3 linked regions of the Sus scrofa genome follow. The protein of the gene in region 3 interacts with the protein of the main gene of each other region in a pairwise test. Links are inferred from orthologs where the notes say so. Each region holds a gene or a part of one and is shown on either strand. Other genes may lie near its edges.

Region 1 (10,946 bases), on a different chromosome or scaffold from region 3:
TAGGTACATCCTCTGTAGCTCAGGGGTTACAGCACTGTTCTTGTACATTTGGGAACCTCACATGTGAAGTGGGCCTAAGTGTTTTCATTAACTTTGAAATTTTCTTTGAGGATTTGTAATTCAAAAAAAAGTTATGCTAAACTGTGCTTATCAAGTTTCATCTCAGAATTTCTGTAGCTGTTATAAACCTTCCACAATAGTGTTTTTATAATGGAAATGCTGACAAATGCAATAATAAACACCAATTCTATGGTCTTAATTGTAAGTTCATGCAGGAAATATGCATACTAGCACAATATTTGGTTCAGTTTCCAGTGCCAAAATCTGCTTTCACATTGGACAGCTGTAAAAGATGATCAGTCTGAATGGCTGCCTGTTGATGGCAAAGGCTTTTGATTATTTTTACTTTCCTTGGAAAGCCTGATTATGTCTTTCAAATATGATTTCACTTAGATCTTTTTTTTTTTTTTTGGTTTATATGTCTGAATACTAATAGTAACCTGATAGTTATGGGGAACTTAGTTTGAGACCAAAAGGCAGTTTTCAGTCAGTAAAGAGTATATAAATAAATCGCCTCCAAGCAACATCTAAAATGGTATTTACATTCCAAATGTCCAAATAACTTTAAGATTTCAAAAACCAATTATTACAATTTTCCAGGAGTAATTGATACCGCTAGGATTTTTTTTTTAATTACTGGGAGGTACTGGAAAACCAGTGTCTACTGATATTTTTATCAATGCTGGTTTAGAAGATAAAGAATAAGACAATTCTAACATAGGGTGTGTTATATACTAAAAATACTTACATTAAAAAGTGCACTGATTTATGGATCTAACATGGGGAAAACTAAAACTATCATGCTGCTTAGAGAAGTTGAATGCAAGATATGGAGGAGTATGGATTCATGTTCGAAATGCAGATGATTTTGCGTTATCTCTACGGATGATTTGGTATAAGGAATAAGTCAATCCACTTCTCTATATTTCTGAAACTTATTTGGCTTCAAATTATTCTATTAGTACAATAATTAAGAAAAAGCCTTAAGAGACTTTTCATTTTGGAGTAGCTTCTAAACATACTAAAAATCACAAAGAACAAAGCATTTATGAGCTCTCATAATTTTAAGAATTGTGGACATAATTCTAATAATAATGGGAAATCTTTTTATTTAGATGTTTTGGGGGTATTATTTACTATACTGAAGAAATATTCACTGTACGATATTGTAAGCTTACTATGAATATAACAATGGTTCAGAATATGAAGATTAAGGATGATGGACAGTTGTGTTTACTCTTCAGGACTCATTGATTTTGAGACCCTTTTTCTACGCATTTTTTTAAAATTTCTTATTTTCCAAATGGATTCTTTCAAGAAACTATTAAGGATTCCTAAAGTTAAATCTTTTAAGAAAAAATCACTTGAAGAGTCTTTAAAAAATGTTTACTTCTCATGAGGACTTAGAGTAGGAGAAGGAAGGGAGCTTCTTCTGCAAGCTCTTTCAATTCTGCACCCTTTCACATTATATGTAAAATGTCAACACATTTTAATTGAATAAATAAATAACTGGATAAAATAAGGGACCAATGTATCCACTAGCACTACATGAGATATTGGGGAGCAAAATGTTGTTCGATGACAAGTTGAGAAATAATTATTTTTCTTTGACATACTGAAAAGAGTAATTTTAAATTTGTTTCTTAAAATACAGGTAAGTGGTCTGAGCAGCCAAAAAGTTGTCTAGCAAAAGAAGAGAAAATAAGTAATTTTATAAAATGGATATAGAGGTTATTGTCCATTTTTCACTTTTAGTAAAGATGCTAGAGAATTAAAAACAAAACAAAACAAAAAAAACCCCAAAACACTCCCTGGTTTTGTTGTTGTTTGGTTTAGTTGGTTACATTTTTTTTCTCTTACTTGTATATCTTGTTCTTATGACAGAGGTGAAACAATCCTGGTGAAAAGATACAGTCAAGTAAGACATCATCTTTGAGAGAGTAATCATTTCAGAACTATCAGTTCCTATAGATAGAAAAACTAGGAAAAGTTTTACATGAAGGAATCTTAGAGACAAGTAGATCCTGCAATAATAGTAAGAGGGAGTGTGAACTGGCAGATCTACTTGGAAGGCAATCCGGCCATTTGTAGCCACAAACTTAAATGTTCATTTGACGCAGAAATTTCACTTCCGGCTACCTAATATCAGGAAATTATAGGCAGAGAAGACATTTATAAGAATGTTCCTCGCATTATTACTTTTTTTTTTTTAAAGAAAATATCTTAGCTATCTGTAAAGGACTGGAGTTAGATGTAATATATGGATGTGACAATAAAACACAGTAATCAAAATTATGTTCGCATGATATTTAACATCAAGGGGAAAGTTCTCATTCTATAGTGCTGAGTGGATAAATTCCAAAACTATCCCAAATGTGTTAAACACATTGAATTTATATCTGTATAAAAAAAGACTAGAAGGAAATAGATAAAACTGATGTGTAGTAATATGAAGTGATTTAAATTTTATTTCTTTTTAAAATTTTATTTTCCAAACTTTTAAGGATTAGTATATATTACTTCTTAATAAAATGAATCATATTTCTAAAAGTATGATAGGCGAATCGCCGAGTGCAAGGATGTGCGAAGTGAGGAGCAAAATAAAGTGTTGAGACAACAGGGTTTATTTTTAGGATTACTGACTTTAAAGTTAGGTGGGCACTATTCATTTCAGTTTCCCTCCTCACTTACCAACTCCTACCTGAAGGACCCCAGTCTAGGTGTTAGCAGGTTCCCCCAAAGGAAGAATTGTGGAATGGCAGATCCGCCAAACTGGAGGCAGATCCTCAGCATGGTTCTATTTCAAACCTCATCTCCATCATACACATTTTGGCAAAGCGGTGGAATGCATCTCCTCTTCTGACTTTTTTCTTCCCTGTCCCTAGATGCAACTAGAATAAAAGCTATCTTTCTCTACGCACCCCTAAAATTTTTCGTGCGCGCTCAGGTGGCGCAGCTCCTGGGACGACCCGGTCCTTTTCCCTGGGTAGGAAACAGGGGAAGCATCCTCAGGCAGCAAAGGTTCAGAGCATCTAAGATACCCCGCGAGTCTAGGTGCGCTCCCAGTGCGTGAGAAAGGGCTGTCCCCTCCTCCTCCCCGTCACCTCAGGTTCGGGCGTCGGGCTACTGGAGGGACAGGGACTGGGTTGAAGTTTTGAGCCTGAGGGGGAGGGTAAGGGAGAAGGTGGAGAGGAAGAGAAGGCAGAATGGTGTTCTGTGTTAGAGATATTTCATCGCTTTGACTCCTTTTCCTTTTTCAGTCCCTTCTTTCTGCCTCCTGACAACCCTAAGAGGATCGGACGATAGACTTGGCACCCCTTGGCCTCTCAGAGAACCCCATAACCCGCAATTTCTCGCGAGTTTCTGCTCCAGGACTTATCTAAAAAGCATAGTCCGGAGCGGCGTGCCTGCCTGACTTGGCTCAGCACCGACTCTGAGGCAAAAAAAAAAGTTTCTTTTACACACACACACACACACACACACACACTCGGAGAGATCAGACTCACAGAGACCGCTGAACTGCAGAGAGGATTAACTTCCCACCCACTTGATATAGACTGCTCCTGGGCGCGGGCTGAGGACCGCCCCAACTCCTTAACTACCTTAATATGCCCCGCCCGCTCCCGCCCCAGACTCCATTCAGAGCAATCGCGTCTGCATTAACTCCACGGCCTCCAAGCTTCTCAAGGGCTGTGGGGATTTTATCATCGCAAAACAAGCTCCAGAAGGCCAGACTTTTGTTAGGTCTTGGAGCTTTCTCCCTGGCCTTTCAGCCACACCCACTGCCGGTCGCGAAACACCCCATGCCCGCGCGCCCAGTGAAGAGGGGGCAGACACTTCCATTCCACACTAGCTCAGCCGGTTTCCTTTTTCTCAAAGCTCTCTAAGAGCTCAGTCATGAAGGAAATGTAGACGATGGCCAGGCGAAGGGTCTCGATTCGGGACAGCCTTTTCTCGTAAGCAAACGTGGGTACCTTCCTCCGCAGCTGGTCGAAGGCCTCGTTGAGGTTGAACATTCGCTTCCTCTCGCGGATGTTGGCGGCTTGGCGCTGGGCGTAGGTGATCACCCTTTTCCTCTTAGGGCGACCCAGCAGGGAGGCGCCTCTCCCGGCCTCCTCTACCTCCTCGTCTTCGCCCTCTTCTACTTCCCCCTCCTCTTCTGGATCCTCCTCCTCAAAACGCGGTAAACTTCTGGCTCTTCCCTCTTGGAGCACAAGGTCTTGGTGGTCCGCATAGGGGACCCCCGGTGCGAAGTCGCAGAGGAGAGGGTGCCCCGGAGAGGCTAGGGACAGGTCTGCGACGAAGTCCAGCACGGTGGCGTCCACGCAGCTCTGGGGATAGGCTGCCATCTGGTCGGCTTGGCTTGGCCCTGCGTCTCATCGGTTTCTCCAAGGTAAAGGCAAGACTGATGAAGGGCTTCCTAAGAGCCTAAAATCTGAAGCAGCAGCATCAGAGAAGGGCCAAGGGACATTAATATTTATAACCAAGCTGATAACAGGATTAGTTGCACAGATAGGGTAGGCTCTGACAACATCCCTCCTCTCCTCTGGAAACTGATGGAAGAAGACAAGCTTGAGCACGCACAGAAGACTCAAAGGGACAGGCCTCCAATTCTGAGATCCCTTTCACTGCATCACCTGAGACAGTTCCTTCTTGGCAACAACCCCAGCTCTTACCTGCTGTGCTTTTTGTGTCTCTCCACATCCCCCCAGCCAACTAATATTCTTCAGGCTCCTTATCTCATGTAGTTCTTTAATTTATCTTTGGGTTTTCAAAGCAAGGATGTTTTCCACCGCTCTGGCTTCTCCTTGGCTTCAGAGTGTGAGCTCTGAATCTTGCCACCCTAGGCTGCCGCTGGGTGTGAAACAAGTGCATGTGCTTTTAATGATGTCCTGAAGAGGGGCCCTGTCTGCCAGGGGTCAAGGGGAGCTGTTTGTCTGGTATCCCGGTGCAGCAGCTACTGAAAGGAAAGATCTTCCATTAGCTTAAGTAAGCACTGTAGGGGAGAGGAGAGTGCATTCCCCAGAGTCGCTGTTGGAACCGGCTTTCTCTTTCCACTGCATCATAAACAGCTCTCCCGCTGCATTACAAACCCCAACTTCTAAAATCTGTTTTGTTGTAATCAATCTAACAATTAAGATACTTGGCTTTCCTTTCCTTACCTTTAACTCCTACCTATGTAAAGGAATTTATTTAGAGGGCAAAGTTATGATGGCAGTAAAATGAAAAGGAGAAGCTCAGAACATTTTCTCCCAGCATGATTCACTGTATAATCCCAGTGTGGGAGGCAAAGCAAACCCTCCCCTAAACAAAACAACTTCAATCTCCTTTTCAAAACTGTGATTCACCCTTTCAGAAGCCAATTGGTCCACCAGCTCATTCCTCTGTTGAGAAGCCTTTCAAATTTTAAATTGCTGATTGATATTTGTGAACAAAGAAAACTCCTGACACTTGCATCTGGTTTGTTTCCTCATTGTACCACCTTATAAGATTTGAGAGGAAAATATTCTTTATTAATTCTAGTTAAGAGAGATTTTGGCTATCTTTAGATCACCTTTGATATGAAAAAATATTTTAAATTTAGGATAGCAAAAATAAAATTTCTTTTGCTGATTTCACATAACTTCATATATATATATATTTTTTTTTAACAAAGAAGGGTTCATTTTTCCTTCTTTGTTTGCCAGTACTTATATTTATTTAATTATTGAGTGTAAGGATTTTCAAGAAGACACCATGTGGCAAAACAATATATTAGAAAAATCATTTTAAATATGTATTAGAAGAAACAGCCTAAAAAGATGAGTATAGAAACATCTTGGTTCAAGGGAAAATCGCCTAGGACATCAATTTCTATTAAAGAGGTAAGTTGTGACTATGATGGTTCAGTTAGTACATTGGACAGCTCCCAGAGAAACCGCCTATTTCTAACAGGTAAGCACACTTCCTTTTTCTTTCTTTCTTTTTTTTTTCTTAGCATCCCAGCAATCACTTTCAGATACTAGAAAAGCAACATCATCTTGGAGTCTTCTTTTTCCTTTCTTCTTCTTTTTTTAACCCATTTGTGTCTGGGCTCTCCCTTGCTCTTTTGTCCTTTAATTTTTTTTTTTTTCTCTTGTGTTTACTCTTCACTCTCCACAATTTGCATTGTGGTAACTCATGCAGAAAAGAATCAAAATTAGTGGTCCTGCAAGATGTTAATGAGAATAAGATCTTTGATTATGATTACCTATTTACTTTTTACTTAATTTCTTTTCAAAGAGAAGACTGAAAAATAAAAAAGAATTGAAATTTCGACAGTGGCTTAGGAATAAGTAAATGAGAGGATTAATTTCTGTTTTGACAAGCAGCAACATGTTTTCTAACTCTTGTTTAACTTAATCTGTTATTAAGTATTTGGACAAATTTTATAGTTTTTAGTTGCTGAATGTTTCTCATGACTTATTTTTTCCCATTTAAGTGCATATATACTGGAATAAATACCTCACCAAGTATGAATCCAGTTCTACACCAAATATACATTAGGACATTTAATGAAGGGAAACATGATAGAAATTTAAATTTACTATATGGTCGAAAACAATCCGTCTCACTGGAAGGAACCATTATTTTCATTTCTATATTTGAAAGTTAAGAGAGAAACATCCTTAGAAAATCCAACTGAAGATTAAAAGAAGTTAAGTTCAAACTTGATTCCTTTGGGTTCTAGGCCCATAGATAGTTTATAATTATTCACTGACCTACTTAGAGGCTTTTTAAAAGAGTTTTGTTAAGCCCTCAACAAATTTTGCTCAAGATGTTTTAGGAAATGATTCTGAAATGACAATCAGTTTTGCTTAGTTTATTACCTATTTTATCACTATTGGACATCCCGATTAAACATTAAACATTTTTTGTACACAGATGGTCCTTGATTTACCATGGTTCGACTTAAATTATTTTTTGATTACTATGGTTCAAAAGCAATAAACATTCAGTATGAACTATACTTCAAATTCTGAATTTTGATCTTTTCCCTGGCTAGCAACATGCAGTGTGATATGGCTCTTGTGTTGCTGGGCAGTATCTACTAAAACACAGCTCCCAGGCAGAAATGTGATACCCATATAGGTAAAACCTTTCCGTACCCATACAACTATTCTGTTTTTCACTTTCAGAGCAGATATTTAACACTTTATTGTAAAATAAGCTCTGTGTTAGATAACTGAGCTCAAACATAGGCTAATGTAAATGTTCTGAGAATGTTTAAGGTAGGCTAGGCTAAGCTATGATGGTTAGGTGTATTGAACACATTTTGACTTTTTATATTTTCAATTTATGATATGTTAATCTGGATTCAATCCCACTCTAAGTTGAGGAAGATCTGTACTATTTTCTTGTATTCAGAATAAAAGCAAAAAAAAAAAAACCAAAAAACAAAAACAAACAAACAAACAAACAAAAAACCAAGTGACCAAGAATAACTTGAGCAATTATTCTTAAGGGGGCTGGAGCATGGGATTAAGAGTGTTAAGGAAAGGTAGATAAAGTATCCAAAGATTAAAGCAAACATCTAACTCTCCCAAATTTATTAAGACTCTTCCTTTTACCTCCTTGCTTCATGTCCCTTTTGTTACTCTTACAGAAATATTAAGCAATTTTAGGGAAAATGATAAAACAGAACAGAGGTAGATGTTTGTCATGATTGCAGAGAGATACTCCCTTAGCTGACACAGAGAAGGAGCCTACATTCTCTTCTTTCTCCATTTCAAGTTATTCACGGTTTATGCAAACAAAAACGACAAGAAAGGAGGCATTACAATACTCATACCAGACAAAATAGACTTCAAAACAAAGGCCATAAAGACAGATAAAGAAGGATACTATATAAAAATAAAAGGATCAATACAAGAAGATTTTTACACTCATCAACATATATGCAGTGAATATAGGAGCACCCAAATACATAAAACAAATATGAATGGACCTAAAGGGAGAAATTGACAGGAATACAGACAGTAACAGTAGGAGATTTTAACACCACACTCACATCAATGGACAAATCTTCTAGAAAGAATATCAATAAGGCAACAGAGATCCTAAATAATCTCTGAATAGCTAGACAATAGATATTTTCAGGACATTACATCCAAATGATAGAACACATCCTAAATGATGGAACAGCTAGAATTAATTGATATTTTTTAGGACATTATATCCAAAAAAATAAAAAACAGAATACACATTCTTTTCAAGTGCACATGGAACATTTTCAAGGACTGACTATACGTTAAAACACAAAACAAGCCTCAACAAATGTTTGAATATAAAAATTATCTTAAGCATCTTTTCTGACCACAATGGCATCAAACTAGAATTCAACCACAGAAAAAGAAAGGAGAAAAAAATGACTACATGGAGACTAAACAACATGCTACTAAAAAACCAATGGGTCAGAGTTCCTTTGTGGCCTAGTGGGTTAAGGATCTGGTGTTGTCATTGAAGCAGCTCAGATAACTGCTGTGGCAAGGGTTCAATTTCTGAGCCAGGAACTTCTATGTGCCAAAGGTGTGGCCAACAAATGAACAATGGGTCAATAATGAAGTCAAAGAGGAAATTAAAAAATATGTTGAGACAGATGTCAATGAAAACACAACTATATAAAGCCTATGAGATGTGGTGAAAGCAGTTCTCTGAGGGAATAATGATACAGGCCTTCCTCAAAAAACAAGGAAAATCTTAAATAAACAATATAGCCTACTACTTAAGAATTAGAAAAAGAAGAAACAAAACCTAAAATTATCAGAAGGAAGGGAATAATAAAGATCACAGAGGAAATAAATAAAATAAAGATTAAAGAAACAATAGAAAAAATCAACAAAGTTGAGGGCTGGTTCTTCAAAGGGGTACGTAAGATTGACAAACCTCTGGCCAGGCTCACCAAGAAGAAAATAGAGCCCAAATAAACAAACAAAGAAATGAAGAAGGAGACATAACAACTGACACTGCAGAAATACAAAAACCATAAGGAAACACTATGAACAGTTACATGCCAATAAATTCAACAACCCAAAATAAATGGACAAGTTTCTAGAAATATATAGCCTACTAAAATTTAATCAAGAAGAAACAGATAACTTGAACAGACTGATCACTGGAAGTGATATAGAATTTGTAATTAAAAAACCCTCTACAAACAAAAGTCCAGGCCCAGATGGCCTCATAGGCGAACTCTACCAAACATACAAAAAAGAACTTGTAGCCATCCTTCTCAAACTCTTCCAAAAAATTGAAAAGGAGGGAATGAATATTGCCAGTGACATTCTATGAAGCCCCCACTAGTCCAATACAAAAAACCAGACAAGGACACAACCAAAATATGAAATTATAGGCCAATATCTTTGATGAATATAGATGCAAAAATTCTCAACAAAATATTAGCAAACCAAATCCAGCAACACATAAAAAAGTTCATACACTATGACCGAGTGGGATTCACCCCAAGTTCACAAGGATAGTTCAGCATATGCAAAATCAGTCAGTGTGATACACCACATAAATAAAAGACAAATTTTCATGGTTTATAGCTATGGCTAATTTTAGAGTTAGAAGAATGTATATTGATCTATTTTATTTTTCTATTTTAATGGTAAACTATTTTTTTCCTGTGGCATGTGGAAATTACTGGACTAGGGATTGAACCTAAGCCACAGCAGTGATAATGCTGAGTCCTTAACTGGGCTTGGCCATCAGGGAATTTCTAGGTAAATTTCTTTTGAAGTTTAATACATATACTTAAAAATTCACCAGTCATATATGTGCCACTTAGTGAATTCTAATAAAATAAACATACCCATAAAACCAGTTCCCAAAATGAGAAATAAAGTGCACCACTAAAGTTAGAGATGATGTAAAAACAGGTAAATATTAAGTATACAGCTTGAGACTATTTTAGTCTCTCCCACAATCTTGTACCCATATCCAGTCACAGAACACTTTCCAAAATATCACTCTCCAAGGTATTATGCTTGACTTCCAAAATTAATTTAGCCAACTTTTGAGCAGTACATAAGAATAAACTATAACTTGTTTATTCTTCTGTATCTTCCACTCAGCATTTTGTTTTATTTATTAATTTTTTAAGAGTTAACAAAGCAGGTCTGCTCTCTTTATTTATTTGGCCATGCCCGTGAAATGTAGGAGTTCCTGGGCCAGGGAACAAACCCATACCACAGCAGTGATCCAAGGTGTTGCAGTGACTGTGCTAGATCCTTAACCCAGTGTGCCACAAGGGAACTCTCTTTTACTTAACATTTTTTTTTTTTGTCTTTTGTCTTTTTAGGGCTGCACCCATGGCATATGGAGGTTCCTAGGCTAGTGGTCTAATCAGAGCTGTTGCAGCCAGCCTACGCTGGAGCCACAACAATGCCAGATTTGAGCCGCATCTGTGACCTACACCATAACTCACACCAATGCCAAATCCTTAACCCCCTGAGCAAGGCCAGGGATCAAACCCACAACCTTATGGTTCCTAGTTGGATTTGTTTCTGCTGCACCATGACAGGAATTCCTCACTCAACATTTTAAAATGAAATTCATGTATACTATTCTCATTGTTGCGAAGTATTTCATTGAGTGACTATATCTTTTCCTGTTTATGGACATTTGAGTAGTTCGCAGTTTTTAATCTATTACAAATAGCTATATATATAACTTCGTATATAACTTTGGTAAGAACATTTATGCATTCCTTTTTTTTTTCTTTTTTTTTTTTTTGCTATTTCTTGGGCCGCTCCCGTGGCATATGGAGGTTCCCAGGCTAGGGGTCGAATCGGAGCTGTAGCCACTGGCCTACGCCAGAGCCACAGCAACATGGGATCTGAGCCGCGTTTGCAACCTACACCACA
Region 2 (11,197 bases), on a different chromosome or scaffold from region 3:
GCTCAAAAACATGCTGATGTGAACTCTGAAATGCGAGGGCAGGCTAGACCTACAATGCAGTAAAAACAGCAGTTTGAGTGTGGCCACCTGGGGGAGGGGGCGGTGGGTAGGTCCGTGCCTGTGCTGTACTCAGACGGCTTCAAACGCACCTTCCCCACGGACACATCTTCCCTGTGACCCTGCCCCCCCAGACCCGCGCTCTCTGCAAACCCTCAGCGCAAGGATTGAAGCTCTGGACACCGGGACTCTGTAGTCCATGGGTCGCAAGCACAGACTGCTGTTATCGTTTGGGAAGCAGATAGGGCTGTGTGTTAGAGGTCGTGGAACACGGCCAGCAAGAGAAACGATACATGGCTGAGGCTTGTCCCCGGCTGTGTCTAAGGGTAGAGCTGCGTCTGAGACCCGTGCTAGGCAGTCATGGAAGATAATGAATTTGACTTGGAAGAGAGGGTGGTGGTGCTAAAGTCGTGTTCTGGGACGGGAGACCCATCGGACTGGTAGACAGTCTGAGAGAGGGAAACTAGCAGTGCATGCTGGGAGTTGTAGTCCAGGTGCTAAAGGGTGCAGCAGGAACTTAAGGATCACATGCGTTTAGGCAATGCATGTGCCCACTGGGACTTGTGGTCCACACTGCCAGAGGTGGCGGCGGGGGGCCGGGGGGGGTGATCTGACCTGGTGGTCCGGGTGTCCCGCAGGGCTGTGGTGATGTATTCCGACATGCGCTTCTCCATCAGTGCCACTCGGATCCATGCCCGGCCCTGGAAAGAAGGCTTACCATCTTACTTGCTGCCCCAAAAGGACCCGTGCACCACTTGGCACCGTGGGCAGGGGCGAGGACCAAGGAGCAGGCTGCCCCCTGTACCCAGAGCAGGAAGCAGCTGCCCTGGCTCCGCCCTCTACCGACGGCTCACCTTGGCTCGGGCTGTGCTGATGTTCTCCATGTTCTCGATGCTGCTCACGCAGTTGTTGGGCACTTTGCTGCAGGCCAGCCGGATGTAGTCCCAGAAGCCCCGCTGCCCATCTGAGCTGAACCAGCTCACCGGACCTGCTGGGGCACAGGCTGAGCCAGGGCAGGGAAGGGGCTCAGCAAGACCAGGGAGTTTGGAGAGGGTCCATGTACTGGGGCACACACATGCGTAAGCACAAGCAGCCATGCACACCCGTAGCACCTCCCCCAAACATACGTGCACACACATGCATGTACACACAGGGCACACCAGCCCATAATTGCATGCCCACTGATGGGGCTTGTGGGCACCCACCGTTTTGTGCCCAGAGGACCCCTCCCCTCTTCCCAGCTCTGTGGACGAGCTTCTGTGCATGGTCCAGAATTGGAGCCAGGGTCAAGGATGGGGTTCAGAAAGCCACAGAGTAGGGTGGCTGGAAGCTAAAGGTTGGGAGTTGGGAGGGCTGGGCAGTGGGAGACAGGAACCTGGGCCCACCTTTGAAACGGTGGCTGAGGATCTGCTCTAAGATGGCTGCAAAATTCACAAACTCCTCGGATGAGTCGTCGATGGGCTCTGCCGTGTACTTCTCCAGCAGGGTTTTCACAGAGAACCTGGGCGAGGGGGAAGGAGAAGGGGCAGTGGGGTGTCAGGTGGGAAGACAGGGTGGCTGCGGGTAGAAGAAAGGCATCAGGCAAAGAGAGGGAAGCAAGGGCAGAGAAGAGGTCCCAGGATGGATGTGGTGGGGAGGTAGCGGAAGAGACGGCGGGAGGCAGGCGACAATAGAGTGACCGTGGAGGTGCTGTGACATGGGAGAATAGGGTGGCAGGTGGGAGACTGACACAGTGGGTGACAGGAGAGGTGACAGGCAGAGAAAGGGGGCTTGGGGAACAAGGTATGAGGGGGTGACACGAAAGATGAAGCCCCTTCCTCCTTGCTGCCCCGCCTCCCCTCCCGTAGTGACTCCCCTAGTGTCAGAGAAGGGTGGGAGTCGGGAGCTGCTTTGTGCCTCTGCCCTGAGCTGTCTTCTGCTACTGCTGGAATGACCTCCAGTCCCTTCCAGGGTGGGGCTGGGGGTCACCTGTGCCAGGGCATGTGAGTTGGCGCTGAGCACATGGAGCGTGTGCATGCCTGGGCGGCCAGGTGGGCTTCTAGCACACGGATGCCCCCCCTTCCCCCTTTTCCTTCCTAGCTCGGCCACCCACACACCAGCTGCCCAGAACCAAGCGATGCGGAGCTAGGCAGAGGGACATGCAGGGTGTGGGTCTGACACACACAGTGGGTGGGAGGGGGCACTGGCAGCAGATCTCTGGAAGGGGCTTGGGGGCCCGAACACCTGGCTTCTCAGCGAGGAAGGAAGCCAAGGGACGCCCATGGGGCTGAGGGACTGGAGCCCAGCAGCCCCCATCCCTCTTTCCAGTCCTGCTTGGAGCTCCGGCCTCCTCTGCAGTCCCCACGCCTGCAGTCACCACCTGCCATTGCTGCAGCGGGGTGGGGCAGGGGTGAGGACGAGGCTCCCAACGCCCCGTTATTGTCCCACTGTGGGTGGCACAGCAGGGGCGAGGTATCCAGGGATGCAGGGGCTGCTTGGAACTGTCCCTTTTTTTTCTAAGCTCATCAAGCCCTGCAATGTGCCAAGCACTCTGCCTGGGTATCTCATCCATCCCCACGGCAGACCTGGGAGGAAGGTCTCCTCATTATCACCCACATCCCCATGTTACAGGCCCGGTAGCTGAGGGTCCAAGAGCTTGAGTGATCTGTTCAAAGTCATGCAGCCTGTGGAGAGTCAACAGGTAGGGCTGATTCCAAAGCCCTCGCTCTTTCTGCTACATCTGTGGCCTCCTGGTGGCTGCTCAGTAGAGGCCCCTGAGCAGCCCCTCCCTCTTCCAACCTCTGTCCTCTACTCAGCAGGCTCCAGCCCTTGAGCACTGGCCTCTGGGGCTCTTGGACTAAGCCCAAGGACCTCCCTCCCTTCCCTTTGGGCTTGGAGTTAGTCTGGCCTGAGATCAGAGCCAGGTCAGTGCTGGGTTGCACTAGGGAGAGGCAGCCTGGGTGAACAAATCCTGTGTCCTTGTGATACCGATGTGGCCTTGGACAAGTCATTTAATCTCTCCAAGGCCCATTTTCCCAAATGCAGACAAGAATAATAGTATTTGTCTTATCAAAATTTGGTTCAGATCCCAAGACATATCTGGAAGGTGAGTGTACAGGTCATTGGCCAGGGGTGGTGAGGAGCCGGGCCTTTAACGGGATGGCCAGAGGAAGCCTGAGTTTAAGGCATTATCTGGGCTTCATTGTGCAGCCCCTCCCCCGTGATTTCTTCTGGTCTTTTGGGTCAGACCTCAGTGGGGGCCTGCAGCCGGTTTCAGCATGGCAGCCATCTGCCATCTGCCCTCAGGGGTGCTGCAGAACTGGTCATCGCCCCCGGGAGCCCTGTGGTGTGTTCCCTGTTAGGAGGTGCAGTGGCTGCTGCAGGTTGCCATGGAGACAGGGCAGCCAGGGCCCAGGGGAGTCCTTGGCCTGCTAAAGGGAACTGTTCTGGGAGCTGGAGGCAAACCACATGACAAGGATGAGGCAGCAGGGGCCTGAGAGGTTTCTGAGCCTTTGTCATGCTTCCGATCCCCCCCGGCAAAACTCCATCCCTCACACCCCAGCTCTGAGCCCACTTCCAATCCACCAGAGCCTCTGCTTCTCCAGCCTAGGCCAAGGGGAGTTCCCTGCTTCCCCACACCCTCAAGAGGCCCAGGTGTCCTGGCAGGCAAGAGAAAGGAGAGGAACCTAGGTGTTGAAGAGAGAGGAGAGGGCCAGGAAGGATGTCCTCGGCATGAGGCTACGGGGCTAGGCTCCTCTGGGCTTTCTGTCATTACCATTCCTTGGTGGGGCTGTTACAATGTTACAATGGGGATGAAGCGCCCAAGGCCCAGAGTGGTTAGGAGACTTCCCCAAGTTTGCACAGCTAATAACTGTTAAAGTAAGAGCTTGAACCTAGGGCCATCTTTATTTACACCAGCCGACAGGGTTTGAGGGTGAGCATAGAGGCAGAGGTTTGCATTTGGGCTGGGCCATTGCTGCACTCATTCCTGCTACAATATTCTGGGTGTTTTTGCAGGGGTCCGATGTGCACAGCACTGTGCTAGGCCCTAGGGATATGATGGTGTGAGACAGACGCAGTGTGGCTGCGTGTGTGCCCAGAACCCTGGAAGGAGCTGTAGAAGATGGGAGCCTGGGCGTCAGGTGGGCACTGAGTCCTAGGGGAAAGAGCAGGGCCAAGGCCTGTGTGCAGGCAGGTGGGGCTGGCCAGGGAAGACAGCTGAGCTCTGCACTGGGAGCACCCTGCCCTTGGAGGTGGCATAGGGGAGAGGGGAGGTTGCAGATGGAGAAGGCAGCTGGCATGGGGACCCAAGGGGAGAGATGAGGGCAGGTGAGGGCCGAGGGACAGGGGCTGAGCTACTGGCCATTCCTGGCTTCAGGGCAGGGCCGGGAGGGTGAACCACTGCAGGCCTGGGAAGTGGGAAGGTTCATTTCCTGAGCCTCAAGAAAGCGGGCAAGGCTTCTGAACACTGCGACAGCCCCACCCTCAGGGACCAGTGGCTCTGCCCTCCCAACCTCCTCCCGGCCAACCCAAGAGACCCAGGCTTCTGTGGTCAGGCCCTCAGTCCTTCCCAAAGCAGAGCTAGTGCCCCACACTCTTCACTGCACTGATTCGGGGACATTGCCTACATGCCCAGTTAACCCTGCCCTAGGCTGCAGCTGCCCAGACATGGAGGAAGGTACATCCCTGCTCCAAGATTTAAGCATCAGCATCTCCACGGAAAGCCCCACCCCAAAGAGGCCAGGCTGACGGGGAGAGTGAGGGTATGCTCGGAGGGATACCCCCTGTCCCCTCGGTTCTCCTCAGCCCACCCAGCTCCCGCCCCCAGCAAGGGAGCCAGCCATCCTCACCCCTCCCCCTCGCACACAATGTCACTTCCTGGTTCTACAGGAAGCTGCAGTGCTAATTAAACACCCCTAACCCCCCGGGCTGCAGGCTGAGCAGAGGCCTGGCTAGGCCTAGAGGGGTAGGCATCAGACCTCCCCAGGCCTGGCCCTGAGGACAGTGGATGCGCTTCTCTTAACCTTGCGCTGCCTCCCTTTCCTCCGCGGCTGCTGTGCAGCCATCCTCCCGCGGGCACTCTCAGGCCGGGTTTCGGCAGCCCACCCCCACGCCTCTCCCGGACCACCCCACCCCCGCCCGGCGGCGGCGCCCACCTGCACACGGTGATCAGGTTCCTACGCTCCACGGCCACATTCCGGGAAGATGCTTTCTTGGAGGACAACCCCAGAGCCATGGTGGTCTGGACAAAGCTCGCTTCCATCCAGATGTGTGGCCACTGCTGCCGCCGTCAGCTGCCCACCCGGCGCCGCGGCCCCCCCCAACAGATCACGGCTGGGCCCTCTGCCCGCCGGGGCCCCTCGACCCCTCCAAGGCCATCCTCTTGCCGCTGCGCCTGTTGCCCGGCCCCCTGGCTCCCTCCCCAGGCGGCGATTCCGGAGCAAAACAAGGCCGGGGAGGGAGCTCTCCGAGGTGCTGAGCCGGGGCGCGTCACCCCCCCCTCCCCTAGCCTCCCGCCCCCCCTCGGCAGGTGACGTCAGGGCCCTCGGGCCCCGCCCCCCGGCAGGCCGGGGACCAATCCGCAGAGGGTGCAGGATTTGGGGGCGGGGAGGGAGAGGAGAGCACTGGGCCTCAGGGAGGACTGAAGGGGGTCCCCGGAAGACGCAGCGTTTGGAAGGAAGAAAAGGGGCATCTGGCTTGTCCTCCACCCCCGTGATCAGAGCCCGGTACCCCACGCTTCGCATCTCTGAGCTCCGACCCCTCTACCCCCTTGTTTCTTATCTGCGATCAGTGGGGTCTAGCTCAGATTTCGCCCCCTGATTTCTCCTCACCTCCTGTACTCTCGTCTCAGCCTCGGCCCCCACCCGTTCAGTGTCGGCATTCCCAGCGAGGCCAGAACCAATCCTAGAGACCAAGGAGCAGTGAGAGCCTGCGTGACTGTCTGCGCCCGGGGGGGAGGGGGTGGACTTGTCTGCAGCAGCCGGCTTCTAGGGTGGGGGATGGGAATCCAGCCTATGCGGTAGGAGCCCAGCGCCTGGGACTCCTCTGGACAGTGAATGGAGCAGATTGGCAGCTAAGGGCCTGGGCTCTGTGGAGGTTCCCAGCCGCAGAGCTGGTGCCCAAAGTAGTAGGAAGGCAACTGCTCCTTCTCAGGGTCCTACGTCCTCACACCCCCAGGTGGCTTGAGGGTTAAACCCCTTGGCTACCAGAATTGCTGCAGGGTGCCATCAACTCTCTTTGCAAGGCCAGAAAAGCTGGTTGCATGTTTTGGGGAAAGATGGGGAAATGGAGGCACCGGCCGGCTTCCCTGCCACCTTTCGCTCTTTCACATCTCCACTCGCATCTGCTCCATTCCTCTATTCAGCCTGTTCTCTTTCACCCACTCAAATGTCCACCTCCCATAGAACGCCTTTCCATGTTGATAACAAGGGCTTCACTCAGTTTCTCCATCTGGCCTCAGAAACATCCATTCCCAGGCTCAGCTCATATCCATTCACCAACTCTGCCCATGCACTGGATTTACTCTGCTGGCTGGTGGATGGTCAGTATCTCTGCGTTGATTCAGATGTGCAGCTACATCTGACTACGACCAGCAGGCAAGGACCCTTTTCTAGCGCAGAGAAGGAGGTGAAAGACCTGCCAAGGTCCCCAACCTTGGTCTGTCTCCCTGGGGGCTGGATCTCCTGCTCAATTCTTGGCTTCTGGGACCTCAGAGTTAGTCTTCTCTGTCCCTCCTCTCTGCCTTTTCCCTCTTGCCTCATCTCTAGAAGCCCCTCTTAACATCCTCCTGCCTCCAGACCCATCCCCAGGGGCAATCACAATGTTTGTTCTTTTGTTTTTCATTGCAGGATATATCAGATGCCCAAAAGAGCACCTAAAACACATGTGTGCAGCTTAAAGAATGTTTCCAAAGCACAAGCCTGGGATGTAATCTCAATGATCAAGAAATAGGACATTGAGGGCGTTCCCATCGCGGTGCAGCGGTTAACGAATCCCACTAGGAACCATGAGGTTGCGGGTTCGGTCCCTGCCCTTGCTCAGTGGGTTAAGGGTCCGGCGTTGCCATGAGCTGCGGTGTGGGTTGCAGACATGGCTCAGGTCCTGTGTTGCTGTGGCTGTGGTGTAGGCCGGTGGCTACAGCTTCAATTCGACCCCTAGCCTGGGAACCTCCATGTGCCACGGGAGTGGCCCTAGGAAAGGCAAAAAGACAAAAAAAGAAAAAAAAGAAATAGGACATTGCAAACACCCCAGAACCTCCACTATGCTCCTCGCAGATCTCATCTTCATCCATCCCCATAGGAGGTAACCACTACCCAGACGTTTGTGATAATCATTTCCTTGCTTTTCTTTGTAACTTCATCATCTATGTGTCCATCGATAAAAAATATGGTTTAATGTTACCAGTGTTTAAACTTTGTAGAAATGGAGTCATCTTGGAGTTCCTATTGTAATTCAGTGGCAAGGAACCTGACTAGTATGCATGAGGATGCGGGTTCAACCCCTGGCTTTGCTCAGTGGGTTAAGGATCCTCGTTGCCATGAGCTACGGTGTAGGTCACAGACGGGGCTCGTATCTGGCATTGGCTGGCAGCCGCAGCTCCCATTCAACCTCTAGTCTGGGAACTTCTGTGTGCTGCGGGTGCGGCCCTTAAAAAAAAAAGACCAAAAAAAAAAAAAATGCAGTCATTCTGTACGAATTCATTGGTGATTTGCTTTCAGTATTAGGTTAGAGCGGTTCATTTTCCCCAGTACACTATTCCACTGTGTGACTATACCACAATTTATCTATTCTAACCATAAGGGTTACTTTGTGCACCAGATAGGGCCTAGTCAGAAAAATGAAAACCACATTACCTATTTTGGGTAGAGGGGATTTGATTACACAGGAGTTGGAAGAGCAAGGAGAGAAAGAGGACACTGGGGCAACGAGACAACTCGTGGAGCTTGTAACTAAAGAAAGCAGTAAGGGGAGTTCCCACTGTAGCAGAGTGGGTTAAGAACCTGACTGCAGTCGCTTGGGTCCCTGCAGAGGTTCAGATTTGACCCCTGGCCCAGGAAATTTCAAATGCCACTGGGTGCGGCCATTAGAAAAGAAAAGAGGAGTTCCTGTCATGGTGCAGTGGTTAACGAATCCAACTAGGAACCATGAGGTTCAGGTTCAATCCCTGGCCTTGCTCAGTGGGTTAACGATCAGGCGTTGCCGTGAGCTGTGGTATAGGTTGCAGACGCGGCTTGGATCCTGCATTGCTGTTGCTGTGGCTGTGGCATAGGCCAAGAAATGGCAAAAAAAAGAAAGAAAGAAGAGAAAAGAAAGACATCAGGAAGAGGGCTGAGGACACAAAAGAGAAGTGGGGGCCCAGACGCCCCCAGCGGGCTGCCCCTGGTGTCATCTACAAACAAAGAAAAGCCAGCTATGAAGCTGGTTCTCTGAAGGCAGAAAGAAGCTAAAGGCTAGAGCCAACTTCCAATGACAGAGCGACCCTGAACAAAGCCAAAAAAAAAAAAAAAAAAGTGCCTTCTCCCTTCCTCCTGCCCTCCATCTCCCTCTAGAGTCTCCTATTCACAGACCTCAACAGAAAGCCAGTAAAAGAGTCTGGGAAATAGGAGTTCCCCTTGTGGCTCAGGGTAACTAACCCGACTAGGATCCATGAGGAGGCAAGTTCGATCCCTGGCCTTACTCAGTGGGTTAAGGATCCGGTGTTACCATGAGCTGTGGTGTAGGTTGCAGACTTGGGTCAGATCCCTCGTGGCTGTGGCTGTGGTTTGCGGCATAGGCCTCAGCTGCAGCTCCAATTGGACTGCTAGCATGGGAACATCGTGGTGTGACCCTAAAAAGACGAAAGAAAAAGAAAAAAAGAAGAAAAAAAAGCTAAGGCAGAGGAAGAAAGGGGACATGAATTTATATACATATGTATTATTTATACATACACACAGAGTATATAGTATAAAACAAGCAAGCAAAAAAAAAAAAAAAAACCCATAGCTTCTACAATTCTTATTTCTGTAACTGGTCAGAAGCAGATATATTATTTATTTATTTATTTTTAGGGCTGCTCCCACAGCATATGGAAGTTCCTAGACTATGGGTCGAATCAGAGCTGTAGCTGCCAGTCTCCACCACAGCCACAGCAATGTGGGATCTGAGCTGTGTCTGCAACCTACACCACAGCTCACGTCAAAACTGGATCCTTAACCCACAGAGCAAGGCCAGGGATCGAACCTGCATTCTCATGGATACAAGTCAGGTTCGTTACGGCTGAGCCACAATGGAGTCTCCAGAAGCTGATATGTACAATTTCCTCTTCCATCACTTATTTCATTGTCGTCTTGCCCTTAGGCAGCACCTCCGTTTTCTGCTGTTTTTAAACCATGTCAGGTGAGGGAGTTCCTGTTGTGGCTCAGCGGTGACAGAGCAAGTGATATCCATGAAGATTCGGGTTTGATCTCTGGCCTCACTCAGTGGGTTAAGAACCCAGCAGAATTGGGTGAACTGTGGTGTAGGTCTCAGACGAGCCTCGGATCCCACATGGCTGTGGCTGTGGCACAGGCTGCAGCTGCAGCTCTGATTTGATCCCTAGCTGATTGGCGAATGCCCCAGTTTTCTCAGCCGTCTGTTGGGATGGCCCCGAGGCTTACGCTACGACTGGCTCCCTGAGTCCCCAGCAGGATTAAGCTCCAGTTGTCCACAGTCTGAATTTGCCTGATAGCACATCCCTCACTGACCATCTTCCCTTCTCTGTGTCACTTCCCACCCACGTGCAGGTAGTTCCCAACATCGATTCCTCAAATAAATGCTTGCCTTCAAATCTTCAACTGTGGTTTTATTGCTGGGGGGAACCCTCCCTTAAAAAAAAAACAGTTGGGGAGTTCCCATTGTGGCTCAGCAGATTAAGAACTCAACACAGTGTCCGGGAGGCTGTGGGTTCGATCCTTAGCCTCATGCAGTGGGTTAAGGATCCAGTGTAGGTTACAGATGTGGCTTGGATCTGGCATGACTGTGGCATAGACCAGCAGCGCAGCTCTGATTCAGCCCCTAGCCCAGGAACTTCCATATGCCACAGGGCCCTAAAAAGAAACAAAGAAATTGATATCTGAAGTGGTCCTAAGACGCAGATCCCCTGAATGGGATTCTAAAATCGAATCACTCACCATAAATTAGCAACAAGGGTAAGTGGGGTGCTGATACCCACGCACAAGCATGATTCACCCTGGGGAATACAGGGGTGCTTTGCCTGTGTGCATCTCTAGTATTTGAGATATGAGAGGGAACTGGGAATTAAAAGGATTGTGGAATTGGTCAGATGTTAAATGCCATCAAATTGCTAAAAGACAAAAAAAAAATGACAGACTCGCATTGGCTAACTCTCAACTCAGGATCAAGTGTAAAAACCAGAAGTCCAGGAGTTCCCATGTGGCTCAGTGGTTAATGAACCTGACTAGTAACCATAAGGTTGCGGGTTTCATCCCTGGCCCCACTCAGTGAGTTAAAGATCCGACGTTGCCGTGAGCTGTGGTCTAGGTCGCAGACGTGGCTCAGATCCTGTGTTGCTGTGGCTGTGGCGTAGGCTGGCAGCTGTAGTTCTGATTCGACCCCTAGCCTAGGAACCTCCATATGCCGTGGGTGTGGCCCTAAAAAGACAAAAGACAAACAAACAAATAAACAGAAGTCCAAGAGTTTCCATGGTGGCTCAGCAGTAACAAACCCGAGTAGTATCCATGAGGACGTGGGTTCTATCCCTGGCCTCTCGCAGTGGGTTAAGGATTCAGCCTTGCCATGAGCTGTGGTGTAGGCCAGCAGCTGCAGCTCCAATTCAGCCTGTAGTCCCAGAACTCCCACATGCTGCAGGTGTGGGCATAAAAACAAACAAACAAACAAACACATGAAAAGGTCTAATTCTGCCCCCTCCCCCATGATTCTAGATCCAGTGCCTTAGACCGCTAGGCCACACTACCACTCATCAAGAAAATGCAGCCTATCCATGCTATGGCTTTTTTTCTTTTCTTTTCCCTTTCTGGCTTCCCAGGGGCATATGGAGTTCCCGGCAAGGAACCAGATCTTTTTGTTTGTGACCGTGACTTCCACCGGAGCTAGAGGAATCCTGGATCGTTAACCCACTGTGCTGTGCCAGGCCAGGGACTGAAACGGGGAGCCAGTGCTGCAA
Region 3 (10,063 bases):
ACTTGATCATGCTGGCTCTTGCCTATGATTCCCAGGACTGACAACAGAGGAGGGATGAGGTGTAGCACTGTTGGCTGTGGGTTGAGGGAGTTGCTGTGTCTTCACTCTGATTCTGCACCCTTCCTGGGACTCCTTTCTCTGGTGGTCTGAGGCTGTGGCCCTCAGACAAAGTTCTCACCTTTTTGGGACCTGAGTTAAAAGTGTTAGGTACAAGCAGCCAGAACTGTTCTGGACCTCATAGGGTTGCCAACGGGGATGGGACTTTATGGGGTCCTACTGTTCTGGCTGGCTCTTTCCATCAACCTCATTCAGGTCTGTCATCATCATTTCTATGAGACTGATCCTCTTTTCTATCCTTAGACCAAATTTCTTATGCCTTCAGAAGGCTGAAGAGTACGTGAGGTATGCTTAGCCTAACAGCTCTGTCTGAGGTCCTCTCTGTTGGAGAGCAGACAGGACTAGTGACTCGGTGACTCCCCCCCCACCAAATTCCAGGGTGTTGGTCTCCTCAGCCCTCCTACCTGGGGCCCTCATCTTGGTTTCTGTCCCTTGGAATAAAGGCTTCTTGGGAAAGTTCACCTCTGCAAACTCTTGAGCAGGTTTTTCTCTTCAAACCTTGCAAAGAATGGATCCCTGTCCCAGGAGTAATGTGACCTGGGGAAGTTGTAGCACAAAGGAGGATTACCAGTCCAGGTGGTGGCCTGTCATGGAAGAAACAGTACATGGATCTATATTTTCTCTTCATCTTCCAGATGAAGTTTCCCAGGTAATGTGTGTTCTGGTAGATTTACTTTCTATAGGGAAGAGACTGTAAGGATGGTTTTGAGAGCCCCTGGTCTTCGGTGGTTATCTAACACCACAAATGTAGGTGACTATACTGTCACCGAATATTGTCCCTTTTATGTATTTATTTGTAACTCTCAAATATTTTTGCTCTGGCTATGTATCCCAATCTGGTAGTTTGAGCACAAGGCCATTCCTTGGATCACCTAAGACAAATTTAGAAGTACTGAGAAAAAAACTGAAATAAGAGACACAGGGTGTGTCACAAGTTGGGAGGGGTAGGACAGAGTGAGCTCGGCAATAATTCAGACCAGGAGTCTAGTCCCAGCCCTGCCATCTGCTAATCCTAGGAAGTTTGGCACATCACCAAACTTGAACTCTGTGAGCCTCAGGCTTTCTACTGTTAAGTGAGTTTGCTAAGCCCTGTCTTATAGGACTGGTGGAATATATGTAATGTATGCAAAGCATCTGTCACTCTGCCTTTCTTGTATTGAGATATTAGGGAACGGCAGTTATTGCTATGATTATCTCGACCTCAGATGTTACTATCCATCCAGGTGGAACTTTTTTTTTTATATATCTAAGAGATGTCAGAGATATGCAGCTTTCGAGCCCCAAAACCTTCCCCACCAGCCTGAATTCTGCTTAGCAATTACTTAGAAAATTAAGTTACATGTTCTCTCCACCCTCTCTTTACCCTTGCCTTTCATTTTTCTTCTTAAAGTAGAGAGTATCTCACCCTCTTCCACAATGACAGCTTCTCTAAGAAACTCTAATTGCATGGGCAGGGGTTGGGTTTTTGTTTTTTTGTTTTTGACTAAACATTCCCAGTACAAGCATGAAGACTTCTTAAGAGCAGATGCTCAGGTAATGTTTGTGTAAAATAAGAGTCATGAACAAGTCATTTGCTGTGATTTATATTTTCCAACATTCTGGAAAAACATAAGCAAATCTGGGTATATATCTTTTACATTTTTAAACAAAGACTAAACGGAGTAAAGAACACCAAGACCTGACCAACTTTTACTCTATCTATCTATCTATCTATCTATCTATCTATCTATCTATCTATCTATCTATCTATCTATCTTCTTATCCAAACTATTTTACTGCGGAGTTCTTTTACATTTCCAAGGATATTCCTTTCCCAAAGCAATGCTATCTTGTTCTGGATCACAAAAGTGATTTAAAGATTTCCAATTTGTATTTCAAAAAACAAAACTCTTACTCCTAAATCTGGCAATCAGCAATAAGTGTATGATCCATGTCATTCATATACTTATATTCTAAACCTAAATAAACTTTCTGTTGAAAGGAACACCAACTGAAAAATGCAAAAAAAAAAAAAAACCCAAAAGTCAACAAGTTATTTATGCATAAAAGGAACACTGGTTAACAGCCTTTTCCAACCACAAAGTGAAGAATTGGCCTCAGACTTCAATAGGGGCGAGAAGAGTGGTTGGATGTGGCTCTGGAGCGTGCACTGGCCATGGCACCAGTGCCAGCCCTGGCTGCAGCTCTGGCTTGGGCCCTCTCTTCCTCATCTCTCAAAGCCTCTTCATAATGGGGTGGGAAGGCACTGGGGACTGTATCATTGACCTTGGCCAAAAACTCCAGGACTTTCATTTTGCTGGTTTCAGCGCGGGCTTTGGGGCCCCATAAGAACTCATAGCAAGGAGGATCACTGTCAGGCACCTGGCGGTACTCCAGGTACTTTTCCTGCACCAAATCTTCAGTGATGAGCTTCCTGGGCTCCCCGAAGATGAAGTGCTTCCTTCCATCATAGACACCCAAAATATTCAGGAATTCCCAGATCTCCTCCTCAGAGGCACGGTTGCCATTCAAGAAGATCACACCCAGGAGGGGCATCAGAAGCCCATTCTTAGGAAAGCCCCAGCTACCACCTGGACTCTCATCGTTGGGGAGATCTAGGTTGCTGACAAAGATATAGGAATGACTGTTGGGTTTGACTTCCTTCAACTTTAGGCCAAAGACCAGCTCCATGCGCTCAGAGGCTCTCCTGAAAATCTCAGGGAAATGCTCCCTATACCTTTTGTTGATAATCTTCAGCATTTCTGCCTTTTTAATGGGATCCTTCATTTTATACTTAAAGAGCATGAACTGCACCAACATCCCCACCTTCCTGGTTAGAGGATCTTTGTGAGAGCTCTCACTGGAAGTTGAGGCCTGGGTGGAATTTTTACTTTCCTCAACTTGGCCCTTGGCACCTACTTCAGATCTTGAGCGTGTCACACCTGCAGCAGCACTGGTCGTGGCTGGGGCTTTCTGAGGCCCATGAGGAGTGCCAGCAACAGAGGAGCTTGAAGGAGCATCTCCAGGAGCAGGAGAGGAGGAGGAAGTGGTCTCTTCTTCCCCTGCTGTAGTGGCCTGAGCATTAAGACCTTGGGTCTCACCTCGGTTGCGGCGGCGTTTCTCACGAGCACGGAGCTTACTCTTCTGACCACGAGGCATGATGGCTGTGGTCAGTGACAGCAAACAGGAGTACAGGCCAATGGGCAGGTGATTTGAGAACCTGGAAGAGGAGAATGAGTTGATGTGAATCCCTTGAAATAGGGAGATTCCACCTTGGCTTTATCAAAGGCTACCTCTGCAGGTCCCTGAGTGCATGTCTCTAGGAACTCACAGGCTCCTGTTTTTCTGGTCAGCCCATCCCCATAGAGAAACCACAGAGGGCTTAGATTGAGATTTACTCTGCTCCTATCAGCCCTGCCTTGGATTTACTCAGGTGACAGCAGGGGCTGGCAGTAGTGCCCTCTGTATTCAGGTTCCTCTTAGTTCATATTCAGGATTATCAGATCAATTCTGGGCAGAGCCTGGAAATCTTCCCCTCAACTACTCTGAAGGTTATATTTCAAAGCTCCCTGAGATCCAGGAGAAGGACATGAAGGGTGCCTTAGTCTGCTTTCCTGCCAGAGAAAACCCAGTGCTGAGCACTCAAGAGATCCTTTCAGTCCTGAGTTCATTGGGATCACCCTTTGAAGTCCTCACCTTTGCTCATTATAAGGCTCAGCATCACTCTCCATTTGCTGACTGGTTGCTACACCTTCACACTATGGATTGCATCTCCCTTAGACTTGATATAAAGAAGTGAAGGGGATGCTCAACCTTACAGCCCTTCCCTGAGATTTCTTGGGCTGAAATCAAGGGGTTAGGGTGGATGCTTTCATGTCCTCTCTATTCAGGGACACATGGTCCCTTGAGTCCTCACTCAGGTACCACAATTGGGCTCCTGGTAGAGAAGCTCCACTTTTTCTTAAACTGATGCCTATGTGACAGTAAGACCTAGCCTCCCTGTTTCCCAACAGAGAAGTGAAGATAATCTTATCTTCCCAAACGTGGTCTCCCAAGAATGAAAGCTGTTACAGGAAGGCTGATGTCCTTGTGATCCCGCACAAGATCCCAACTCAAGGTCCAAATCTGACTCATGATGGGGTCTCGGATTTCCCCCTCTGCTGACCTGGGACAACTCTCATCAGATGAAGACCCTCACTTCTCTGTTAGCGCATAATGGGACCTGACAGGCACTTATGCCTGACATCTATCCTTGAGGTCTCCCAAGGACAGGAGAGAAGATTTTTTGTAGTTCAAATGGTGCACTGTGGGACATTCCCACAGTCCTCAAGGTTCTCACCAAGACACCCAGCATAACCTGAAATCCTCCCTCACTGATATGAGGTTGCTCCCTGTGACCTGTCCTCTCACCTCCCTGGGATGTCCTGAGAAGGACTGAGTGCAACCCACGTCAAAATGTCCAATTCACCCAAGCCTGAAAACAGGGCTGGTGCTTTATATGGCCCCATTTTTTCTGGGAGGGGCCTCCCAACCTCACTCAGTGTCACAACCCTGCATCCTGTTGGGGACTGGACCCCTGTGCTGAAGTGGGCTTAATCCAACAGACCAAGGCTCTCACCTCCCTGAGACCAACTCCAGAGGTAATGAGGGGGCACCAGAGCTGCCATCTCTGCCCGGGGCCTCCACTGGTGAGTTTGTGATTACCAGGTGTAGCCCACAATTCCCTTAGTCACTAGAGGGGAATTTAAGTCACTCTACATCTGTCTACCTTGCCTCGGCCCTCCTAGAGCTGAGGACAGAGGTGTGGCTCAGCGTGGCTCCCTTTGGGGGAAGAGGTCTTAACATTAGCACTCTGGGCCCTCATCTAGGACCCAGATCTCCTCCATCTGTAAGATCAGGGCAACTCCCATAGACCAAGGCCTTCTCTTGGCGGCATGGAAACATTCCAGGCCAAATTCTAATAGCTGTGCTGGGGCCTCCCTAAGGCAGATCGCAAAGGCAGGGTGTGGTTGAGTCACCTAGGTGGGGTGGGGGTGGGTGCGAGGAGAGACAATCCCTTCAGGGGACACTCAGGTCCTTACCTTGGCTCCTGACCAGTCCTGGAAAAACAACTTGGGCCGCACAAACGCAGCGTCCACAGGCGGATCGCCTTGCCTCCCGAGCGGAAGTGGGGGGAGCACATCCGGCCCTGCAGGGTCTCCCAGATCTGACGGCAGGGGTGGGGGCGGGGCTCTGCAGAACTCTGTCCTTTAGGTCAGCCATCATCCCGGTGCCATCTATCAGGGCTGGGGAATTCCTCCCTTTAAACACCGAGTCCTCCAGCTCCCAAACAAAGCCCTCGCCGCCCCAAGTTTTTAGTGGGGAAGCCAGGGGCGCTGCTCTGAGCACCTCCTCCTGATGGGAGGGCAAGACTATGAGTCTCCCTCTTTAGGACAGAGTCCTCTTGTTAGCACTGAGCTCCCCACCTTAACTCTGGTTATGGCCAAGACTACCCTCCACCCTACTGCACCTACCTCTGTCTGCCATGAAGAACTGAGGTCTGATCCTGCTAGATGGGGCCCTTCCCTCCCCAAGATTGCACAGGTGGAAGGAGGGGACAACTCAGCTGAGCTCTCCTGGTCCTCTGGGGCTAAGAACAGTGGAGAACTCCATTTGGCACCCTCTGCTTTGGGGGGGGGTCCCCTCATAACACTCAGGGTCCTTTCCTTGGCTCTTGCTAAGCCCTAGGTTTTTTCTTTGCAGATTTGTGGCTGTTCCACTAGTCCAGGGTTGTCACCTCCATGACACTCTTCAGGGAGATTGAGGGGGTGGCTTTATCTCAAATATCTGTCCTGGGCATATCAGGGTTGACAGCATTGGGGGCATTTGTGGAGCTCCTCTCAGAGGTGACTGGTTCCCTCAGGTCTTATTCAGATAACTGACCACTTGAGAGACTCTGCCCTCTGTTGACCTGAGGCTGCTCCCATCAAATCAAGGTACTCACCTTCTGGAGACCTCCAACTGGAAGGATGAGCCACATCCAGCCGGGACTGTTCTGAACGTCTAAGGGCTGATAGCCTTGGCCAGACTTTATGGAGGCCTGCTACTTGGGCTGGTCCTTCTGTCATTCCTTATTCAGGGTCCTCGTCTTCATCGCCATCAAAGACTGCGACTCCTTCTACTGACCTCCCTTTACTGTTTGTAGGCCAAGGTCTTAAGTCCCTGCGAAGCCTGAAGAATAAGTGCGGGGTGCTCAGCCTGACAGCTCTATCTGGGGCCTTCTAAGTCTAAATACCTGTTTATGTATGGTCCCCTACATTCTGGGGCGTTGGTCTCCCAAGTCTGATAACACTGAGGTCCTCTTGTCGGTTCCTGCCTCTCGAACTAAAGGATTCCTGGGAAATGTCTCACCCCTACAAACACCTGAGCAGTTTCCCCCCTACACACCTTGGTCCCTGTTTTAGGAGTGATGTGAGGTGGGGAAACTGAAGCCTAAGGCAGGAGTTCCAGACAGGTGGTGTGCTGTCAGGGGATAAAATATGCTGCTATTTTCCTTCTCTTCACCAGCCAGACTTAGAGTCTCATGTAAATTCTGTTCTGACAGATTTATATTTTACGGGGAAGGGGCTGTCCAGGATGATTTTGTGAGCCCCTGATCTTTTTAGGTTATCTGACACTGCATGGGTAGATGATCATATTGTCGCTGAGTATTAGCTTTCCTTTTTTTATTCATGCCTGGCATTTATTTTGGTATTCATATTGCTCTGGGAATGTATTCCAAGCCAATAGTGTAAGCATAGTTTTTTTTTTCTTTTACTGCCTGAGATGCATTTTTAAGAAGAGGAAAATTGAATATAAGAAACACAAAGTGGGCCTCAGGCTGGGAAAATTGGAACAATGTGGGCTCTTGACTAAAAGAGACCTGGAGTCTAGCTTCAAACCTGTCCCTTATGAGCCATATGAGCTTGGCCACATTATGGAACTCTGTGAGCATTAGGCTCTACATATGCAAGGTGGGTTTGGTAACCTCTGTCTTGTAGAGCTAGTGGAATGTGGTTAATACGTGTTAAGTGTCTGGCACAGTGACTGGGCTGTACTGAGACTTCAGCATGGCATTTATTACTCTGATTAATTTGGACCCGGATGATACCACCCTCCCTGCTGGGCGTGTTTATGTTTTTGTTTTTAGCTCCAGCATAAGTCAGAAAATATGTAGCATCCTAGAATAAGTAAAACCCCAATCAACCAAAATTCTGATTAGCAAGAAAAATTAAATATTTCTATAATGCCTGATAAATTGTTCAGTATGGTATAAGGTACACTTCCCCAGTTAGATGCACCACAAACCCCCTAAATTTGTGTCAAGGATCGACAGCTTCCCTCCTTATGAGCAGCCTTTTCATCTCAATCACCCTTGCTTTCAGTAATTTAATCATTACCCCAAACCTATAACCCATATAGAGTTTGTCAAATTCTACACGATAACTTAATTTGAATGCCCCTTTGATGGAGAGGCCTCTGACCCTCTCAGGCCAGTACAGAGGGTGCCCAGTGGCTTCTTATCATCTTGCTTCAAGGGAAAATCACTCTTATTTCTCAGAAAATTCCTGGAGACAATGTGAACAAAACATGTAATTGGCATATTATTCACCTGTGCTGGGACAAGAGAACAGGACATGTTTCATCCCTCCCACAGGGGATTTTTCTCTGCTTACAATCCCAAAATAACTGGTAAGAGCAGTCTCCTATTCCAGGTCTAGTCTTTCACCTGAAGGACCCACCATCTGAGAATCTGGGCCCTGCTCATGATGATCACAACCTCCTCCAGTCCACCACGCAGTTAACTTAAAATTAACCTCCCAATGAAGGACGTGTAGTTTTCTAAGGCCTAACACTGCCTTTCTTGCTGAAACTCTCTTCTGGAACCTCTTCTCTTTTGCCTGTCCTTTAGATCTGAGAGATAACAGCAATATCTTTTTATATGAAAGCTGCACCTAACAACTTAGAGTTTATGGGCAGTGGCTTGATCTTTTTTATTTATTTTTTTCTTTTTGTCCTCAGTACAAGTATGGAACCTTCCAAAGAGGAGATGTTTAATTAATATTGGGGGAATTAAAGAGCTGGTAAACAAGTAGTCTAAAGTATTACAATTAATTTATCTTATAGTCTTGAATAAGCCAAGTAAATCCAGGTACATATCTCTATGTTACAAAAATGAAGACTAAAAGGAGTAAGGCAAACCAAGAGATAACCACCTCTTACCTTTTTATTTTTTCTTTTTTCCATGATCCCAACTATTTTAATACAAGATTCTTTCACATTCCAGGAAAATACGTATTCTAATGCTATATTATCTTTCCTGTAGTTTGCAGGAAAAAATTCAGGGATTTGTGTTTTACTAAATATCAAAACTCTTTTTTTTTTTTTCCTGCTATTTTAGGGCCTCACTTGAGGCACATGGAAGTTCCCAGGCTATGGGTCGAATTGGAGCTACAGCTGCCAGCCACAGCCACAGCAACACCAGATCCGAGCTGCTTCTGCGACCTACACCACAGCTCATGGCAACACCGGATCCTCAACCCACTGAGCGAGGCCAGGGATCGAACCCACATCCTCATAGATCCTAGTTGGGTTCGTAAACTACTGAGCCATGAAGGGAACTCCTTAATGTGAAAACTCTTGTTCTTAAACCTGATGAACACCAAGAAATGTGGGACTCATGGAATTCAATAGCTTAGATTCTAAAGCTAAATAAATCTATTTAAAGGGACATTTGATAAATACCAATAAAGCTATGAGTTACCCATATTGAACAGGAAGACAAAAAGCCATACACTGTCCACCTTTATTCCTACTCTGACCCTCTACTATTCAGAACACTGACTTCCCACTTCAAAAACAAAGTGGAGGAGCACCCGTAGCCTTCACTACCCATAGAGGAAGCTGATGGCCATGGCCCTGAAACACACTCTGGCTGCAGCGCTGGCTTTGGCTCTCTCTCATCTCTCAAAGCCTCTTAATAATGGCACAGGAAGGCAGTGGGGATGGTATCTCGGACCTTGGCCCAAAACTCCAGGACCTTTGGTTTCAGCCTGGGCTCTTGGACCCCATGACAACTTACAGTGTGGAACATTGCTGTGGTGCACCTGCTGGTACTCCTGTTACTTTAACTGTACCGATCCCTGGTAATGAGCTTCATGGGATCCCCAAAGATGAAGTGCCTCTCCCCATTATATTCTGCTTTTTTCAGACTATCTCCTCAGTGATCCAGTTGCCCTTTATGAATATCAGGCTCAGAAATGTCACCAGGAGGTTGATCTTCTGCATGCCCTTTACATAACTCAGCTTCTCAGCTAAGGTTAGGTCTAATTTTCTGACAAGAGCATAGGAGTGGTCCAGTTCCTTCACATCAACCCCAAAGAGCAGCCCCACATGCTTGGAGGCTCACCTAAGGATCTCAGGAAGTGAAGGGTTCCTTATTTTTTAGACATTATTCACAATGTCTGATGGGCTCTTTCATTTGATAACTGAGCACCAGGAAACTCACTAGCAAAACCGCTTTCTAGTCTAGAGGGTGTTTGGGCAACTTCTTAGTGTCTGGCAAAGCTGTAGGGTTCTCTGACTTTGTTCCTCTGGAGTGACCACTGGAGTTCTCAACTGATATCCTTGATAAGGTGCCTGTGAACACTCCTGGCTTTGGGTCTTTGGGTCTCCCTGTGAGCCTGAAAGCACTGCTCTTGTGTGCAGCACCAATGCTTCTGATACTGCAGCATGGTCCCTCTTGTTGGTACCAGTAGGCGGGAGTGTGGGTAGGAGGCATAGCAATGGGGCACCACAGGCTAAGGAAGAGGAGGAAGATATAAGTGGTAAACTCAATTTTGTTTGCTATGACTTAGGCCATCTCTACCAGACTTTCCCTAAGGGCAGTGTTCTATGACCTGTCCTGTTTGTTCCATAATTACTTGAAAAAGGAACTGGGAAGTTATTT

Evidence for each region.
Region 1: the proteins of melanoma-associated antigen B4-like (region 3) and FERD3L interact in binary tests that used the Homo sapiens proteins (3 or more experiments, as listed by UniProt). The two-hybrid records come from large-scale screens. The link is inferred for Sus scrofa from reciprocal best matches to the Homo sapiens genes MAGEB4 and FERD3L.
Region 2: the proteins of melanoma-associated antigen B4-like (region 3) and RUNDC3A interact in binary tests that used the Homo sapiens proteins (3 or more experiments, as listed by UniProt). The two-hybrid records come from large-scale screens. The link is inferred for Sus scrofa from reciprocal best matches to the Homo sapiens genes MAGEB4 and RUNDC3A.

What each region holds. Positions count from the first base shown.
Region 1 is NC_010451.4:88,317,969-88,328,914, forward strand, and holds the start of FERD3L (fer3-like protein), read right to left. Parts: upstream 5,254-10,946; 5' UTR 4,410-5,253; coding exon 3,915-4,409; 3' UTR 1-3,914. UniProt on the Homo sapiens protein: Transcription factor that binds to the E-box and functions as inhibitor of transcription. DNA binding requires dimerization with an E protein. Inhibits transcription activation by ASCL1/MASH1 by sequestering E proteins.
Region 2 is NC_010454.4:18,924,215-18,935,411, forward strand, and holds the start of RUNDC3A (RUN domain-containing protein 3A), read right to left. Parts: upstream 5,512-11,197; 5' UTR 5,300-5,511; coding exon of another isoform or gene 5,193-5,299; intron 1,559-5,192; coding exon of another isoform or gene 1,443-1,558; 5' UTR 1,323-1,442; coding exon 912-1,322; intron 759-911; coding exon 673-758; intron 1-672. UniProt on the Homo sapiens protein: May act as an effector of RAP2A in neuronal cells.
Region 3 is NC_010461.5:26,021,844-26,031,906, reverse strand, and holds the end of melanoma-associated antigen B4-like, read right to left. Parts: intron 6,307-10,063; 5' UTR 6,080-6,306; intron 5,382-6,079; 5' UTR 5,279-5,381; coding exon 5,178-5,278; intron 3,317-5,177; coding exon 2,221-3,316; 3' UTR 1,704-2,220; downstream 1-1,703.